Linked DNA regions of Mus musculus: region 1 is reported to be linked to region 2. The links are microRNA targets in miRTarBase. Many come from high-throughput screens and were not tested one by one. Region 2 holds a microRNA gene; the other region holds the end of a gene's coding sequence.
The links. Region 2 holds the annotated microRNA mmu-miR-698-3p (CAUUCUCGUUUCCUUCCCU, at 3,761-3,779, shown strand). A microRNA usually pairs through its seed, bases 2 to 8, with sites in the 3' UTR of a target mRNA and lowers its output. Matches are read on the target gene's strand: a 7mer-m8 pairs with bases 2 to 8, a 7mer-A1 pairs with bases 2 to 7 and ends in A, and an 8mer does both.

Region 1 (7,827 bases), not on the chromosome of region 2:
TGGGGGACTGAAGAATAGGTTCTAGTGTGAGTCACCTGTGTTTAGGACATGGTGGTCAGGTGCTGCCCCGCCTCTCCATCACCCGCCCCTCTGTTGCCCCTCCCCTTCGTCGCTCCCCCTCCATCACTCTTCCCTGTGTCCTCCAGCAGTTATTGAGGTCAAATTCGGATTAGGGCCTAGAGGGAGACAGAGGCTTGGACAGGAATCCCAGAGGCAGCCTTATCAAGGACGGTGTGAAGCCCAGGCTGAGGTAGGGAGGTGGGGGGAACCATCACAACTAGGGCTTGCTGAGGAGAACCCTGTCAATGGAACTAGTGTTTGAGCTCCTAGGAAACCAAAGAAATAAAACCAAAAAGGGACGGTCCTGGGAAAAATACACAGAGGCTCATGTGATTTGGGCGTCTGAATCTTCCCAGCCGCGGTGGTGGTCCTTGGTGGGAAGAGGCTGCAGCCCCTCGGTCCTCTTGAGCTCCTGTTGCTGGACGTGCTGAGTGTCTGTCTGCCCCTCTCCCTCCCTCCCTCCCTCCCTCCCTCCCTCCCTCCCTCCCTCCCTCCCTCCCTCCCTCCCTCCCTCCCTCTTTCTTTCTTTCTTTCTTTCTTTCTTTCTTTCTTTCTTTCTTTCTTTCTTTCTTTCTTTCTTTCTTTCTTTCTTTCTTTTTGCCAGTGATACTGTGACTCTCCAAGGGTGCCAATGTCAGAACTCTGGGTCTTAGGAGGCTGTCCACACCCCTGGGGAGGCATATGCAGGATGTGTCATAGAGAGAGCGGAACCTACCTTTGGCAGCCTCTTCTCCAGGGGTCAAGGGCACCACACCTGATCAGCAGCTATGGGTTCATATCCTGTCTCTGTGCTGATCCCTGATCCTGTCTGTATGCTGATCCCTGATCCTGTCTGTATGCTGATCCCTATGGCACTGCCCTTGCCAACCTCTGTTTTCATCCAGGATGTTTTCTAAGCAAGTTGCCCATGGAGGCAAGGTGCCACTCAGAGGACTGTGGGAGAAGGGCAGTGAATAGCATCTACCCAGGGCTGCCGGGAAGTCCCCGGGGTGACAGGGCGCAGGTGTCGCCTTATGAGGCCAGATCCCTGCCACATGGGGGCAGTAGCTCCTTGGCAGCCCAGGAGCCCCTGCTGGGAACTGGGGAGGCACCTGGCTACGGGGCTGGGGCTGCGGCCACTCAGCCAGTCACTGCATGAGATTAAAATTAAACTGTGCTTTTTCTCTTTCTCCGTTTTCCTTTTCTGCACTCTCCTGGCTCCTCCCAGGGCTCAGAAGTAAGTCTTGGGGTGACTGGAAGTCTGGTGGTGCATGATGCCCGTGGGGGGTCCCTAGTGGACAGAGAATGTGTCTGTCTTAGTCTTGTGGATGGGCCTGCATCCAGGCTCTTGGAAATGGCCTGATCTGGACCAAGATTACAAATGCATTCCACCCTCAGCCCCGAGTGACCTGCCCCTGTCCCTGCCCTATCCCCAGGCTCCGAAGTGTGAAGATTGAACAAGGGAAGGTGAACGATCAGGCCAACACGCTGGCTGAGCTGGCCAAGGTGAGCATCACCAGGACGGGACGGGAGGAATGGGCTTCCAGGGACACGGGGATAGTGTCTAATCAGAGGAGGCAGAAACCCACAATGCAGCATCAAGTATTTATGCTCAACTTGGCTCTTCAGTTTAAATTCATGAGTAATATTCCAGGCATCCACAGCCAGGGTTCTAGCTCCTTCAGAGGCTGAGGCAGAAGGATCCTTTGAGGCTAGGAGATCAAAAATAGCACAGGCTATATAGAGACTCAGCATTGACTACATTTACAGCATAGGATTCTAGACATGGACTCCACCCTGAGCCACACCTCCAGCCCCTCACTGGGGGAGTTTAGGCAGAGACTCCACTTTCTAGTCCCATTCTACCCAGTAATGTCTTCAGAAGATATTAAATTCTTTGTTGTTTGTTTTTAAATATTTATTTATTTAATATGTACGTGAGTACACTGCTGCTGTCTTCAGCCACACCAGAAGAGGGCATCAGATCCCATTACAGGTGGTTGTGAGCCACCATGTGGTTGCTGGGATTTGATCTCAGGACCTCTGGAAGAGCAGTCAGTGTTCTTAACCACTGAACCATCTCTCCAACCTCCAACCTCCATTTTTTTTTTTTTGGAGTTTTTGAGACAGGGTTTCTCTGTGTAGCCCTGGCTGTCCTGGAACTCACTTTGTAGACCAGGCTGGCTTTGAACTCAGAAATCCACCTGCCTCTGACTCCCAAGTGCTGGGATTAAAGGTGTGTGCCACCACTGCCCGACCTTTTTGTTGTTTTTAAGACAGTGTGACATGTAGCCCAGTCTATCCTGGAATTCACTGTGTAGCCAGGGACAACTTAGAATTCCTGATCCTCCTGCCTTGTAGCTGCCTGCAGCTACACGAACCGGGTTCCTGAATCGGAGGCTGGGGCTGTATGGGAGGAAATGGTGAGAGAAATAACGAGACCAAGACAAGATACTGATCAAGGCCCAAAGTTTACTTAAGAGTCTGAGCTTATAAAGGTGAAAGGGCCATCCTCCAACACTCCAGGTTCTCCTTGCTCTGCCGCCAGGCTGTCAGTACTTGGTGGCCAGGCTGTTGCTTATTCAGGATCGGCTCAGGAAGACAGGTTCAGCCTGTCAGCAGGCAGCAGCATCTTGGAGAAGAGCACAGAGGGGGCAGAACACTAGACCTAGCTATGTCTCGGAAGTCTCCACCCCAGGTGGTCCCCTTCACAGTGGCAGAACAGGTCTGAGCCAGCCTGCTCACCGCTGGGGGACGCTACACTGCCTCAGCTTCTAGAGTTCAGAAGTCATAATGGTTCATTTCACATAGTTTACTCCAGTACTCACATGGCTGCAGGAGGATGATTGCTTCAAATTCAAGGACAGCCTGGAGACTGTCTCAAGAAATACACACATACATATAAATAAAAACCAACCAAACAAATAAAGCCAAGCTGGGTCTGGCGGCACAAACCTTTAATCCCAGGTCTCTGGCTTCTGAGTTTGAGGCCAGTCTGGTCCAGGTAGGGAGTTCCAGGCCAGCCAAGGCTACATGGTTATTTATGCCCTGTCTCAATAAATGAATAAACAAACAAACAATACCAGAGAGGGCTATGAGCTAACAGTTATGGGTGTCTTCAAATGTCACATCCTGGTTTCTGGACAAGTAGGGACAGGTAAGCTACAGTCTGGGCAAAGCCATGGTGGCCCAAAGAAGAAAACCATTCTCTAGCTCCATCTGAGCCTGACATGTTCACCAGCTCCCTGGCGGCCTGTGTTGGGACTCTGCACCTCTGGCGCCCCCTGCTGGTCACACAGCCGGCGAGCTGCTGGAACAAAAACTGCTCAGTCCCCTGCTCTTTAATCCTCATGCTGGCCCCTACTGTCCTTAGCCCTCTGCCCTCAGCCATCTCCTGGTCCCTCCCTTTATCACTCGGTCTGTCTCTCCATCTCTGTAGGCACAGAGCATCGCATATGAGGTGGTGTCAGAGCTGCAGGCCCAGCAGGAGGAGTTGGAGGCACGCCTAGCCGCCTTGGAGAGCCGACTGGATGTCCTGGGTGCCTCCCTGCAGGCTCTACCAGGCCTTATAGCCCAAGCCATATGCCCTCTACCACCACCCTGGCCTGGGCCTGGTCACCTGGCCACAGCCACCCAGAGCCCACAAAGCCACTGGCTGCCCACCATGGGATCAGACTGTGGGTGATGGCTGCTGACCGCTAGACTGCTCCATCTCAGCCATCGTGTGGCCACAGCTAGCTCCTTGCCGTTTTGGACCTCCGGACTACTGCATTTAGAAGCTTGGGTGAACTGAGCCGACTGGACTGGCACTCATCCTTCTGAGGCTGGGCCACAGGATCCAGGTCCCCTTAGCTGTCCCAGGCCCCAGGAGGGCAAGGAGTAGTAGCAGGGGCCTCAACATTTCTAAGTAAATCAGGAGCTTCCAGCCCGCTTTCTGTTGACATGCAGGGGGCTGCAAACATCTCCCCAGAGGAGGTAGATGACCCCACCTGGGGATTCCTTAATGGACGGGGACAGACGTGGAAAGTCACTGCACATGCATTGAGTATCTACTGTATACAGGGACTGAAACAATGGCTTTTCTTCAGGATCTATCTAACTGGAGTAAGATACAAACAAATGAGAATTCAGAGAGGTGAGGCCACTTGCCTGTAGCCACACAGCAATGGTCTGAGGCAAACACACTTGTTAAACAGCATAAGCGGATAGATTCTACTTGGGGATCCTGATGTCAAAGTAAGGACACACGGGAGGGTGAGAGGCCAGGGTTACAGACGAGCAGAGTCACCACGGTCACTTCAGACCTTAGGCTTCAGACTTTGGGTACTTGGGGAACACTGAGACACCTCACAGGCATGGGCGGCTTATCAAGAGCAGCCTAAGTCACAGTGTCCTCTGATCAGACTTTCAGCCACCTGTCTTGGGAGATAGTGGACCTGTGTGGGAACCCAGAGGCCCAGTTTGGATTCTATAAGTTTGTGGGGTGGAGCTCTGGGGTGGACCTGGGCAGGCTTTATTCCCCTGCTGCTGTGGGAAACAGGCCTAACCCAACCCCCACACGGGTCAGACAGTAGGTGCTCAATAAATACCCCCTCCTTCCTAAGACTGCCCATGAGGGCTTGGGAAACATGGACCCATCCTGCCCCTTCTGAGCCCAGTATTAGCTCCTGTCCATCAGGAAGGGGACTGAGATCAAAACAGGTCCAGAAGAAATAAACAAGGCAGGTCAATGTGACACATGCCTTTATTCCTAACACCTAGGAGGCAAAGGCAGGTGGGTTGCAGTGTATACAGTGTAAGACGTGGGGTGGCACAGAAATAAACAAGGCTGTAGGTGACTTGGGATTCTGGTGAAACATTTGGGCGTGGAGGACAACAGGGTCCTTCAGATTCCAACTGCGCGCTGCGTGTTTCTAAGGTCTGTGCATCACCGGGAGGCGGGCTGGGGCTAAATGAGAGTATAAAATGGCCTGGCGTGGTGCAAGCCTTTACTCCCAGCATTTGGGAGGCAGAGGCAGGCGGATTTCTGAGTTCGAGGCCAGCCTGGTCTACAAAGTGAGTTCCAGAACAGCCAGGGCTATACAGAAAACCAAAAAGAAAGGGAGGGGGGGAAGGACGGAGGGAAGGAGGGAGAGAGAGAGAATAAAACGCAGTTGTGAGGCCACAGATCGCCTCGGTCAGAGGACACATTTTCCCTGCCCCGGACTTAATAATCAACGTCATGGAGTAGGAAGTCCGGGTGTCTAGGGACCCGGTTCGTGGGACATGCAGCTGGGCTCCCTGCGCAGCTTCGGGCGCCGCGGGGGTCGGGGGCAGCGGCTGCCAGGCTGGTGATGTTCCAGGCAGCCGCACTGCTGCATGTGCAAGCACCTGAGGTGGTGGTGCGCGGTTGGAGCGCAGCGTAGGCGTGAACGCCGTGGCCAGTGACTTCACCGCAGCCAAGACAACCTGTGACACCAGCAGATGTTACTTCCAGGTGAGCTCGCAGAAGCAGTAGACACTCAGGAAGCTGAGGCAGGTGGATTTCCAGAAGCTCAAGGCCAGCCAGAGCTACACAGAGAGACCCTTTCTCAAGACTTTTCTTAAAAAGTTAGATGTGGCTGCACATATCTGTCATTCCAGCACTGGGGAGCTGAGGCAGGAGGATCAGGGCCTCATAATTTGAGGGTAGCCTGAGCTAACATATACTGTCACAAAAATCATAAGGGCTCCCAGAGTTAGGATTTCACATAGGGACGCCCATCTATCCTGGATGAAGTCCTCCTGCCTGGACTATGTCCCTATTTCAGGCCTGTGACAACCTAGAAATAGAGGTTGACAGTGGAACACTCCCAATTAAAGCAGGGGATTCAGGATCTGTGGAAACCCAGGATGGGCTAGAGAGTCTCCTGTTTAGGACCTCCAGGTGAGGGGGTCCCGATTCTCAAAGAAGCTTCTCGTGTGTGCACCCCGAATTCTGTCTCAGTTTACCTTGCCTTGTCTGCTACTCTGGGTCTGTCCCTGAAGTGGGGGCGGGTCTGATGGTGTTTGTGGATAGGAAGGGAATCTCTCCCACTGGGAAGGAGCCTGTGGCAGACTGCAATGGAAGACATTCCACTGTGAATCCGGGTCATAACCCCTCCCAGTTCACTTATGAGACCCCTAGGGCATTCCTATCCCTGAGCCTTGCTGTGTGCCTGCAGGGCAGATGTGGTGTCTCTGGGCTCCCTGCCCCTCACTCACTCACTCAGCTAAGCCAGGCTTCACTATGCCGGACCGTGAAATAGGCAGGTCAGAAGCGGGGCCCCACATCTGCTTCCAGCTGCTCTAAACAGATAAATCCTCAGTTGGATGAAGGAAGTCAGCGTCTGTCCAGTGGGCCAGGAAGAGACCCCGTTGAAACTTTTTTCTCCAGGTGACTCAAAGGAAATCCTGAAGCCACCCAGACTTTCACTGAGGACTTCCTCTAACACACACGGGGTGGGGTGGGGTTGGGTGGGGTGTGACTTACTCCGTGACTCCAGGCGAAGGCCAAACCCTCTCTCTGGTCTCCGAGACTTATCTGTGTGGTACACTCACTCTGGGAGGGGGCGTCTTCAATTCCCGCACTTTTCTTTAGTCCAAGACCTGTGGGACTTCTCTGGTCCTCCAGGCCGCCTTGTCCTCTCCAGGCTGCGGGCAGGGGGTGCTGCAGCCTGGTTCATAAGGCTGTGAACCTGTGTTCGTTCACACAGCTGGGCTCAGGAGTGAATACGAGCCGCAGTACATCCCATGTCCACCAGGGGGTGCCCGTGTCTACAAATGCCGGGCAGGTTTCCCTGCAGGAGCAATTCTTCCTGTTACATTCCAGAAGGGTCTCCCTATCCCCAGGTACACTGCAGCCCTTGACTCAAAATATCAGAGTCTCCTGGATTTGCTGCCTATGCACGGCAATCCCTTTCTGGATCTGAGGGACTAAGTTCCCCTAGGCCTTATGGAAGTGGAAATTGAGGCACATCCTCCTTGTCCCTTGCCAGGGTCCTTTAGGTTGAATGGGGGTGCCCAATGCGGGGGGGGGGGGAAAGGACCAACACTTCCCTGTCCCCACCAATTCGCATCGCCGGAAACAATGGGCCTGAAAAAAGGTGCCCCAGATAGGTCTGCAGGCGGCAGCGAGTTGATGATTAAGCTGGGAGGTTCTGGCCTAGTGGACACACCTGCGAACCCAGCATCTAAGAGGCTGACACCGGAGTTCCATTGCCTTGAGTTCCCGGGCAGCCTGGGTTACAGTGTGAGATCCTGTCTGAAAACATAAGAAAAAGCCAGGCCGGGCAGGAGAGATGGCTCAGTGGCTAAGAGCACAGACTGCTCTTCCAGAGATCCTGAGTTCAATTCCCAGGAACCACACAGTGGCTCACAGCCATCTGTAATGGCTCTCTTCTGGTGTGTCTGAAGACAGCTACAGTGTACTCATATACATATACAAATAAATAAATCTTTTTTTTTTTAAGTTTAAGAAACAGTCAGGTACTAAGGCAAACGCCTATCAAGTCAGCTCTGGAAGACTGGTGGAGGATGGCAAATTCAACATCGGGCTTGGTTAGAGTACGAGATGCATTGGAGGCTATGTGAGACTTGGCCTCAGAAGAAAATAAAGCTTTCGGGTTCAGAAATCCGATTTGAGCTTTAATTCCAGCACTCGGGAAGCAGTGGCAACCTCGCCTCTATGAGTTCAAGGCCAGCCTGGTCTACACAGTGAGTTCCAGACTAGCCAAGGGAACACAAAACTACTGGCCAATCTTGTAAACAGAAGCAGGGGGACTGTCTCAA
Region 2 (7,827 bases):
CATCCATTCTGCAACACTGGCCCAACTGCTTGCTTTTTTTTTTTTTTTTTTTTTTTTTTTGATTTTTCGAGACAGGGTTTCTCTGTATAGCCTTGGCTGTCCTGGAACTCACTTTGTAGACCAGGCTGGCCTCGAACTCAGAAATCCACCTGCCTCTGCCTTCCGAGTGCTGGGATTAAAGGCGTGCACCACCACGCCCGGCGAGAAGCAATCTTAAATCAGTAAAGCTAACTAATTGGGGTGAACATGTTCTGAGATGGAGATGTGGCTCAGTCATGGAGTGTTTGCTTGGCAGCTGTGAGGCCCTGGGTTCCGGTTCCTAGGCTCCATCCTCAGGACTGCTCAAAATAAATAAATGAAAGTCTCAGAGCCACTATACCAGAAACTGCACAGGAGTGTAAGGGCAAGATTCAGCCCAGTCCTCAGGGATCCAGCTTACCGAAATAGTCAGCAGTTGAGAAAAAACCAACCATTCTAGACTCTCTCGTCTGAGCTAGCTTCTTTTGTCCTGTCTTGAGTTATATATAGTCTTTTTTTTTTTTTTTTTTTTTTTTTTTTTCCGAGACAGGGTTTCTCTGTATAGCCCTGGCTGTCCTGGAACTCACTTTGTAGACCAGGCTGGCCTCGAACTCAGAAATCCGCCTGCCTCTGCCTCCCGAGTGCTGGGATTAAAGGAGTGTGCCACCATCCCCGGTTTAGCTATATATAGTCTTTACCTAGAAGGGAACAATGGAGTCTGGAAGAGAATAGTTCCTGTCAGGGTAAATGGCCAATAGAATGTGGCTAAGGGGCTTGAGGACAAAACCTGCTCAGGGCTGTCTATCTGGGCATTGCGGTGAGATGTCTCCTTAGTTAAGAGAACATATTGCTCTTTCTTGGGACCCAGTTCCCACCACACACATCAGGTGTCTCACAGCCTCCTGTCACCAGCCCCGAGGATCTGATGACCTCTGGCCTTCTTAGGTGAGCGTGCACACACACACACACACACACACACACACACACACACACACACACACGGTGCACATAAATTCATGCAAGCACACACACATACACACAAAAAATTAAAAACTAACAGATCTTTAAAGAAATAAAGAGCCAAGAGGGCCACATCGTCCTCCGCTGTTAAGAAGAGTCCTCCGCGCTGCCTGGTGGTTGTCATTACTGTGTCACAGATAAAGATGCCACACATTTCAAGTTCCATTGACAGAAAAGCTAGATAGGTCTTAAGAACATTTAGCAGTTCCTAGACGGGAAAATGACACAGGAATTGGAGTTGGACTTCCCTCTGGGCACCCAGCACTTATTGGCTACGGACTTTGTCAAACAGTTTTGTCTCTCTGTTCCTCCGTTTCTCCACCTGGCAAGTGGAGAAGGTGACATACATGAAGCCAGGGCACGGTAGTTATCTGGAAGTGTTTCAGAATAATAGAAAGCTGTCCCTTTCTGCATGTGAAGAGTTGAGGATGGACTTAACTTGAAAATAAAAGTTAACATCATTTTTTCCGTTAGGGTAACATGACCACTTCCTTCTGCCTTGGACATGGGCCTTGGCCCTTTGATTTAGTGGGCTGAGAAAGGCGTTCCTCACGCAGGCTTTCCAGAACTGGGACGCCCGAGTATGCTTGAATACAGACTGTAGATTCTAGATTTTTAAATAGAGTAAGGGCGGGGAGACCCACCTACTCGTCCATGTCCGACTCGGGCATGCTGGGACTTGCAGGCTGGCTGTCCGTCCTGTGACGCCAGGGCCGCTGGGAAATGTAGTCCTTAATCTGCCCTGGAACGGAGGTGTCCTGCAGGCCCACCGGTGACAGCTCGGGAGGTAGGCTGCAATGACAAGGATCTGAAATAAGTGCAGAGTGGGAGGGGGCTTGCAAGCTGGTTGCTGGGGCCCTTGTCCTGTGGGTGCCAGAATGGACACTCCTAACCTGCTGCTGATGCAACGGGGCCTGTTGGGTGGGGTGAGGGGCAAGGAGCAACGGGACACCCACAGGCTCCGAGGAAAGAGCAGCGGGGCTGGGTTATTTCTCCAGAATAAGACCCTCCTAGCTGAGACTGAGGCGAAGGCTGTCTCCCTACCCCTATTTGGACACACCACCAACCTTTCCCAGAGAAGAGCCAGATGGACCACAACTGCTCCCTGAAGAGGGCATCAGAGCTGTACCCAGAAGCAAGGAGACCAGAGAGCATACTGAACTCCACTGGGAACATCTGGGGCGACACCGAGCAAGGGGCAAAGGGGTAGAAACCCATTTTCTGGAAACGTTGAGAGACCCATTGTAGGAAAGACGGGGAAGGCCAGAAGGAGAAGAGAGATGACCAGGCTCTCTCTTTTCCCTCCACAAAGGCCCCTTTCTTCATCCCCACAGCCCCCCGAAGCAGCTCTAATACGGAATGGGAGGTTCCCACCTGCCCTACCCCAGGGTTTGACAGCTCAGCATGGACCAGTCTGTGGCAATCCAGGAGACCCTGGTTGAGGGGGAATACTGCGTCATCATATCCTTCCCAGTTGTAGGTTGCCATCCAGATCGTGCCTGCTTCAGCCTTGGGAGGTGGGATGGAGGGTGTGGAAAAATTTCTCTCGAAGCCATATGGGAAAAGGTAAACCAATATTTACCAAGTATTCACTTGGCTCTGGTCTCTCTACCAGGTGCTTTACATAGGTAGCTATTTTCTCAACCAGCTGCAAAGTTGGAGACTATTATACCCATTTTGCAGATGAGGAAAACTCAGAGAGGTGAAGTCGTTTGCCAGTGGGAGAGGGAAAGGCAGCGTGGTGGAGTGGGCCGGATGGGGAGTTTCGCCCTTTGGCTTTCAGTTTCCCTTCACTCTGAGCAGCAGGCAGTCCAAGGTGTGCTGTGTAAGGGAGATAGCCGGCAGAGCCGCCTGCTCGGGCTGGTGAGGTACCGGCTGGAAAATGACGCCCAGGAGCATGCGTAAGTAGGGCTCAGACTGCCTGTGTGGGCCATGGGTGGTTCTTCAGTATCCTCCAGCTGGACTTCAGTCATTCTGTCTGAGTCTCCTAGACTAATTAACACAATGATAGTGTTCTGGAACACCGTGTTCTAAGCCTTTAATAATCAGCAAGATGTGATGTGGAAGCTTTTAGAGGAGAGGCAGTTATATCAAACTTGGCCAGATTTTGAGTTTGTGTGAGTGCCCGAGTTTAAATCCGGATGCTGCAATCCTATGCAAATTGTTCTTCATAGCTCCATTTACCCAGAGTAAAGTACAGAGGGTTGAACTGGGAACGAGCGAGCACATGCACCAGGAAGCTGAGGCAGGACTGTCACAAATTCCAGGCCATCCTGGGCTACATTCTAAGCACAGCCTAGGCTACAGAGTGAGACCCTACCTCAAAAAGGGAAGGGATGGGGTTGAAGAGATGGTTGGAATGTGTACTGCTCTTGCATCACTGGACACTGTGCATGGAAAGGGCCTGAGCCATGCGTATGGCTAGGGCACTGCCAGCTAAGCACTAGGGACCCACAGGTGACCACAAGCACTCTAAGCTGGGCCTTCCACTCATTTCTGCCCTTAGTCTCTTCCTGTATACACACCGGAGGATGGCCATCACAGGAGACGATGTATCTCTGGACCAGATAGTGCCACTCTCAAAAGATTTTATGCTGGAAGAAGGTGCCAGTTGGGCCGGGTGGTATGCTCTCCTCTGGGTGGCCCCCAACTCATCTCTGCCCTCACTGTAAGGGAGGGTGGTGGCTATGTGGGTGGGACAGGGATGTTCAGTTGCTAAAGACATTCTCGTTTCCTTCCCTCAGTGTCCCCAGATGGTGAACTCTACATCCTTGGTGAGTAGCCCTTTCAATCTGGGTCCCTGTTAGGTCAATGGGACAGGTTCCAAAGACAGAAAGATGAACGAGAACATGCCTGGATGGGAGTGATGCTAGGTGCCTGAAATCCTAGCATGTGGGAGGCTTGAGGCAGGGGGATTGCCTTGAATTTGAGGTCAGTCTGGACTTACATTGTGAGTTCTAGGCAAGCCGTAGACTGACAACAAACCAAAAGAGAAAATTCTTGGGTTGGTGGAACGGCTTAGTGGAGAAAGGTGCTTGCTGTCAAGACCAACTTTCCGAGTTCGAGTCCCAGAACCCACTAGGTAGAATGAAAGATCCAGCTTCTGGGCTTTTACTCTAGAGAAAACTTTCCTGGTGTCCATACTACGGTGACTAAGAATCAGGTGCTACCCTCTACCAGCTCTTTTTCCTTAATCACCCCTTGTCAGTGCGTTTCAGTCCTCCAGGTGGGCTCCATCATCACCTCAGACACCACAAGTTGTAACCCTCCTCCTCCTCCCCTTCCTCCTCTCCTTCTTCCTTCTCTTCTTCCTCTTTCTCCTGCTGCTGTTCCTCTTCCCCCTTCTTTCCCTCCTCCTCCTCTTCTTCCTCCTCCTCCCCCTACTCCCTCTCCCTCTCCTTTTCCTTCTCTTCTTCCTCCTCTTCTTCTTTTTGGTTTTCCAAGACAGAGTTTCTCCATGTAGCCCTGGCTGTCCTGGAACTCACTGTGTAGACCAGACTAGCCTCGAATTCCTCTGCCTCTGAGTGCTGGCATTAAAGACATGTGCCGCCACCACTGCCCCGCCAGTTCGCTCTTCTTAAAAAAAAAAAAACTATCCCATGCTCCTCTTCTCCCCTTCTCTCCCTGAGCCCTTTCTAACTTCCTTCCCCCTGTACCTTTCCCCATGGTGATTCGCCTGGCCTCAGTCCTTTGAACCAGTGAGCCCCCACCCAAGCAGCTTCCCAATAAACCTACCTTTAATGTAAAAAAACTTACCACACTAACTATTTAGAGTGTGTGTATGTGTACTTGAATTACCATGGTGTCTGTGTGGCGACCAAAGGACAGCTCGTTCAGGCTTGGCAGCAAACACTTACCTGTTGAGCCATCTCCAGTGGCCCCAGGGTCCCCTGCTCTTGTAAGTGCCACATCTTTCAGCTTGGGCCTCTCCTGTGTGTAGTCTTTTCTCCTCATCATGTCATTCTCAGGGCCTGGCTCTACGGTGGACCAGCAGATAGGCAGGTGCTGCAGTGCACTTCTGCATGCTCTTCAGTTCACAGAGCTGGAGAACTTAAATCCACATTACATCCCAATCACACAGCAATCTCCCAATCTCCTCTTCCCCCAAATGTAGGAGTGCTCTGCTGCAAGCACACCTATGTGCCATCAGATCCCTTTATAGATGGTCATGTGGTCATGAGCAACATGTGGTTGCTGGGAATTGAACTCAGGACTTCTGGAAGAGTAGCCAGTGTTCTTAACTGCTGAGCCATTTCACTAGCCCAAGTTTAGGCTTTCTGATTTGCCATTTTGCAGATTCTCTCTCTCTTTTTTTTTATGTTTTTTTGTTTTTTTTCAAGACTTATTATATATACAGTATTCTGCCTGTATATGTGCCTGCATGCCAGAATAGGACATCAGATCTCATTATTGATGGTTGTGAGCCATCATAGGGATGCTGGGAATTGAACTTAGGAACTTTGGAAAAATAGCCAGTGCTCTTAACCTCCAAGCTATCTCTCCAGATCTCCTTTAAATAGTTTCTCAAGGCAGGGTTTCTCTCTGTTTCCAGGCCTGGCTGTCCTGGAACTTGCTCTGTACACCAGGCTGGCTTTGAACTTACAGAGTTGTGTCTGCCTCTGCCTCCTGAGTGCTTGGATTAAAGGTGTGTGCCACCTCCACCAGGCAGAGTCCATTCTTTTTTTAAAAAAATATTTATTTTTAACTTATGTGCATTGATGTCTTGCCTTTGTGTATGTCTCTGTGAGGGCATCAGATCCCCTGGCACTGGGGTTACAGACAGTTATAAGCTGCTATGTGGGTTCTGGGGATTGAACTCGGGTCCTCTGGAAGGGTTAAGTGCTCCTAACAGCTGAGCCAGCTCTCTAGCTCGCAGAGTCTCCTCTTAATACATTTTAGTATTTAGCTACTGGTGACTGCATTTCTTGTCTCCTCTCTACAGGCTCTGATGTGACAGTACAATTGAACACAGCTGAACTCAAGCTTGTATTCCAACTTCCCTTTGGTTCACACACCAGAACGTTCCTCCAGGAAGTGGCCAGAGCCTGTCCAGGTAGGTAAGAGCCAGGTTTCCTGGAAAGGCTGTGTTGGCTGAGAGCACTGCTGTACTCTCTTGGTAGTGACAGTTGACTTTCCAACCCCATTGGGGTCATACAACTCAGTTTCCGCACCATCTCAAGGCTGCTGGCATGGAGTCACAGTGCCTGGGCTGCCAGCTAGCTACACGTTTGCTTTCCCTTTTTGAGATGAGGGTTTCGCTCCCTATTCCTGATCCTTCTGCCTCAGCTTCCCTCCCGAGTGCTGGCCTTACAAGCTTGTGTACCACACCTGGCCGGCGTTTGGTTTTCTGTTTCTGGTTACTAAACCTGAATGTTAACTGGGCTGTGACTCTGAGGATTCGGGGCTTCCTCCAAGTTAGCAGAGGGGTCCAAATTCTCCAGTATCCATAGCTACAACCAAGAGAAGTCTGTCAAATGTATTCCGCTCAAACCCTGCTCTGTTCCCCATTGCAGCTGGAGAAGAAAAAAAAAAAAAAAGGCTAGCTTTGGCCCAGCAAGAAGAAGTTGGTGCCATTTGACAAAATTTGTTTAGATGGGAGATCAGCCAGGCAAGCAGAGAGGTTGTGTACAGAGCGGAGGCCCAGTGACAGAGAATGCAAATTCATGCTGCCAGGTGCTGGGGCTCAGGTGCTCACCGGGCACTGATAAGGAGGAGTCCCTTTAAAGCTAATGTCTGGTCTCTGCAGGAACGTACGAGGGTTTGTCTCCTATGACAGCTGCCTATGGGGCCTTAACATCCGGCTCCAAGCATTTCTCTAGGTGTGCCAGGAAGGTGACCGACTTTGGAGGCTAGTTTGGTAAAAGGAAATCAGGACAAGAATTAATGGAGCCTTGGATGGGTTTAAGTGCTGTTTTGTAAATAGTTAATAATAAATTAATGAATAAATAAGTAAATAAACAAAATGTAACATAATAAAGATAATTTATGATTGTTAGTAGTGGTTGCAAGCAAGGGTAATAATAATTATTAATATTAATATTGAGATTGGACATCCCTAACATCGAAGTATCAAAGTGGAAATCTTCCAAAATCCAAACTTTTTTTTTTCTGAGAAAGGGTTTCTCTGTATATCTTTGACTGTCCTGGAACTGGCTCTGCAGACCAGGTTGGCCTCAAACTCAGAGATTCACCAGCTTCTGTTTCCTGAGTAGTTTGTTTAAAGGCATGTGCCACCATGGCCTGGCATATCTAAAGTTTATCATTGATGTGTCATGCTTTAGACTCCTTCTTTCTTCCTTCCTCTCTCTCTCCCCCCCCCCATCCTTCTTTCCTTCCCTCTCTCCCTCTCTCTCTTTTGGTATTTTTGAGACAGGGTCTCAGTACACATAGGTCTGGGTATCTTGAAACTCAGTATGTGGACCAGGCTGGTCTTGAACTCACAGAGAATCTGCCTCCCAAATGCTGGAATTAAAGGTGTTTGGCACCATATCGAGCTAGAGTCTTTTCTAAGCCTGTTAACTCTTACCATACCTTACAAGGTTGGTATTATCAGTGTCTCTTTCTATAGATAAAGGAACTCAGGCCTTAGAGAGGGCAAGGGCCCTGCCTGCATGTATGGCTAGTGAGCTGGCAAGGTGGGTTCCTCCTAGGTGAGGCCAGGATTGCCTGGGTGTCCTCTGCATCCTGGAGGGCTTTGCTTGAGAGCTTCCTTGGCTCGTGCCTTTCTTTTTATGTAAACAGCTCAGAGGAAGCTTCCCGGAGGAGGTGACATTGAAGCTCAGACTATAA

Region 1: the mRNA of Kcnn1 is a reported target of mmu-miR-698-3p. The part of its 3' UTR that is shown has no 7-base or 8-base seed match.

Annotation. Positions count from the first base shown.
Region 1 is chr8:70,840,213-70,848,039 of GRCm38, reverse strand. It overlaps Kcnn1 (potassium intermediate/small conductance calcium-activated channel, subfamily N, member 1), which reads left to right. Exons shown (of 10, transcript NM_032397.3): 8 at 1,268-1,276; 9 at 1,476-1,545; 10 at 3,479-4,876. The coding sequence ends at 3,724. Among named protein-coding and RNA genes, the nearest start is that of Arrdc2, 4.4 kb to the right of the region's middle.
Region 2 is chr4:124,740,092-124,747,918 of GRCm38, forward strand. It overlaps Mir698 (microRNA 698), which reads left to right and starts at 3,690; the gene lies at 3,690-3,798. Inpp5b (inositol polyphosphate-5-phosphatase B) reads left to right here and starts at 1,759. Exons shown (of 24, transcript NM_008385.4): 1 at 1,759-1,825; 2 at 2,373-2,499; 3 at 2,845-2,939; 4 at 3,545-3,642; 5 at 3,783-3,812; 6 at 5,981-6,091. The coding sequence starts at 2,443. It overlaps Gm12915 (predicted gene 12915), which reads right to left. Exons shown (of 4, transcript NR_151694.1): 2 at 4,896-5,088; 3 at 1,683-1,830. Gm32117 (a long non-coding RNA gene) reads left to right here. Exons shown (of 2, transcript XR_376640.4): 2 at 1-14.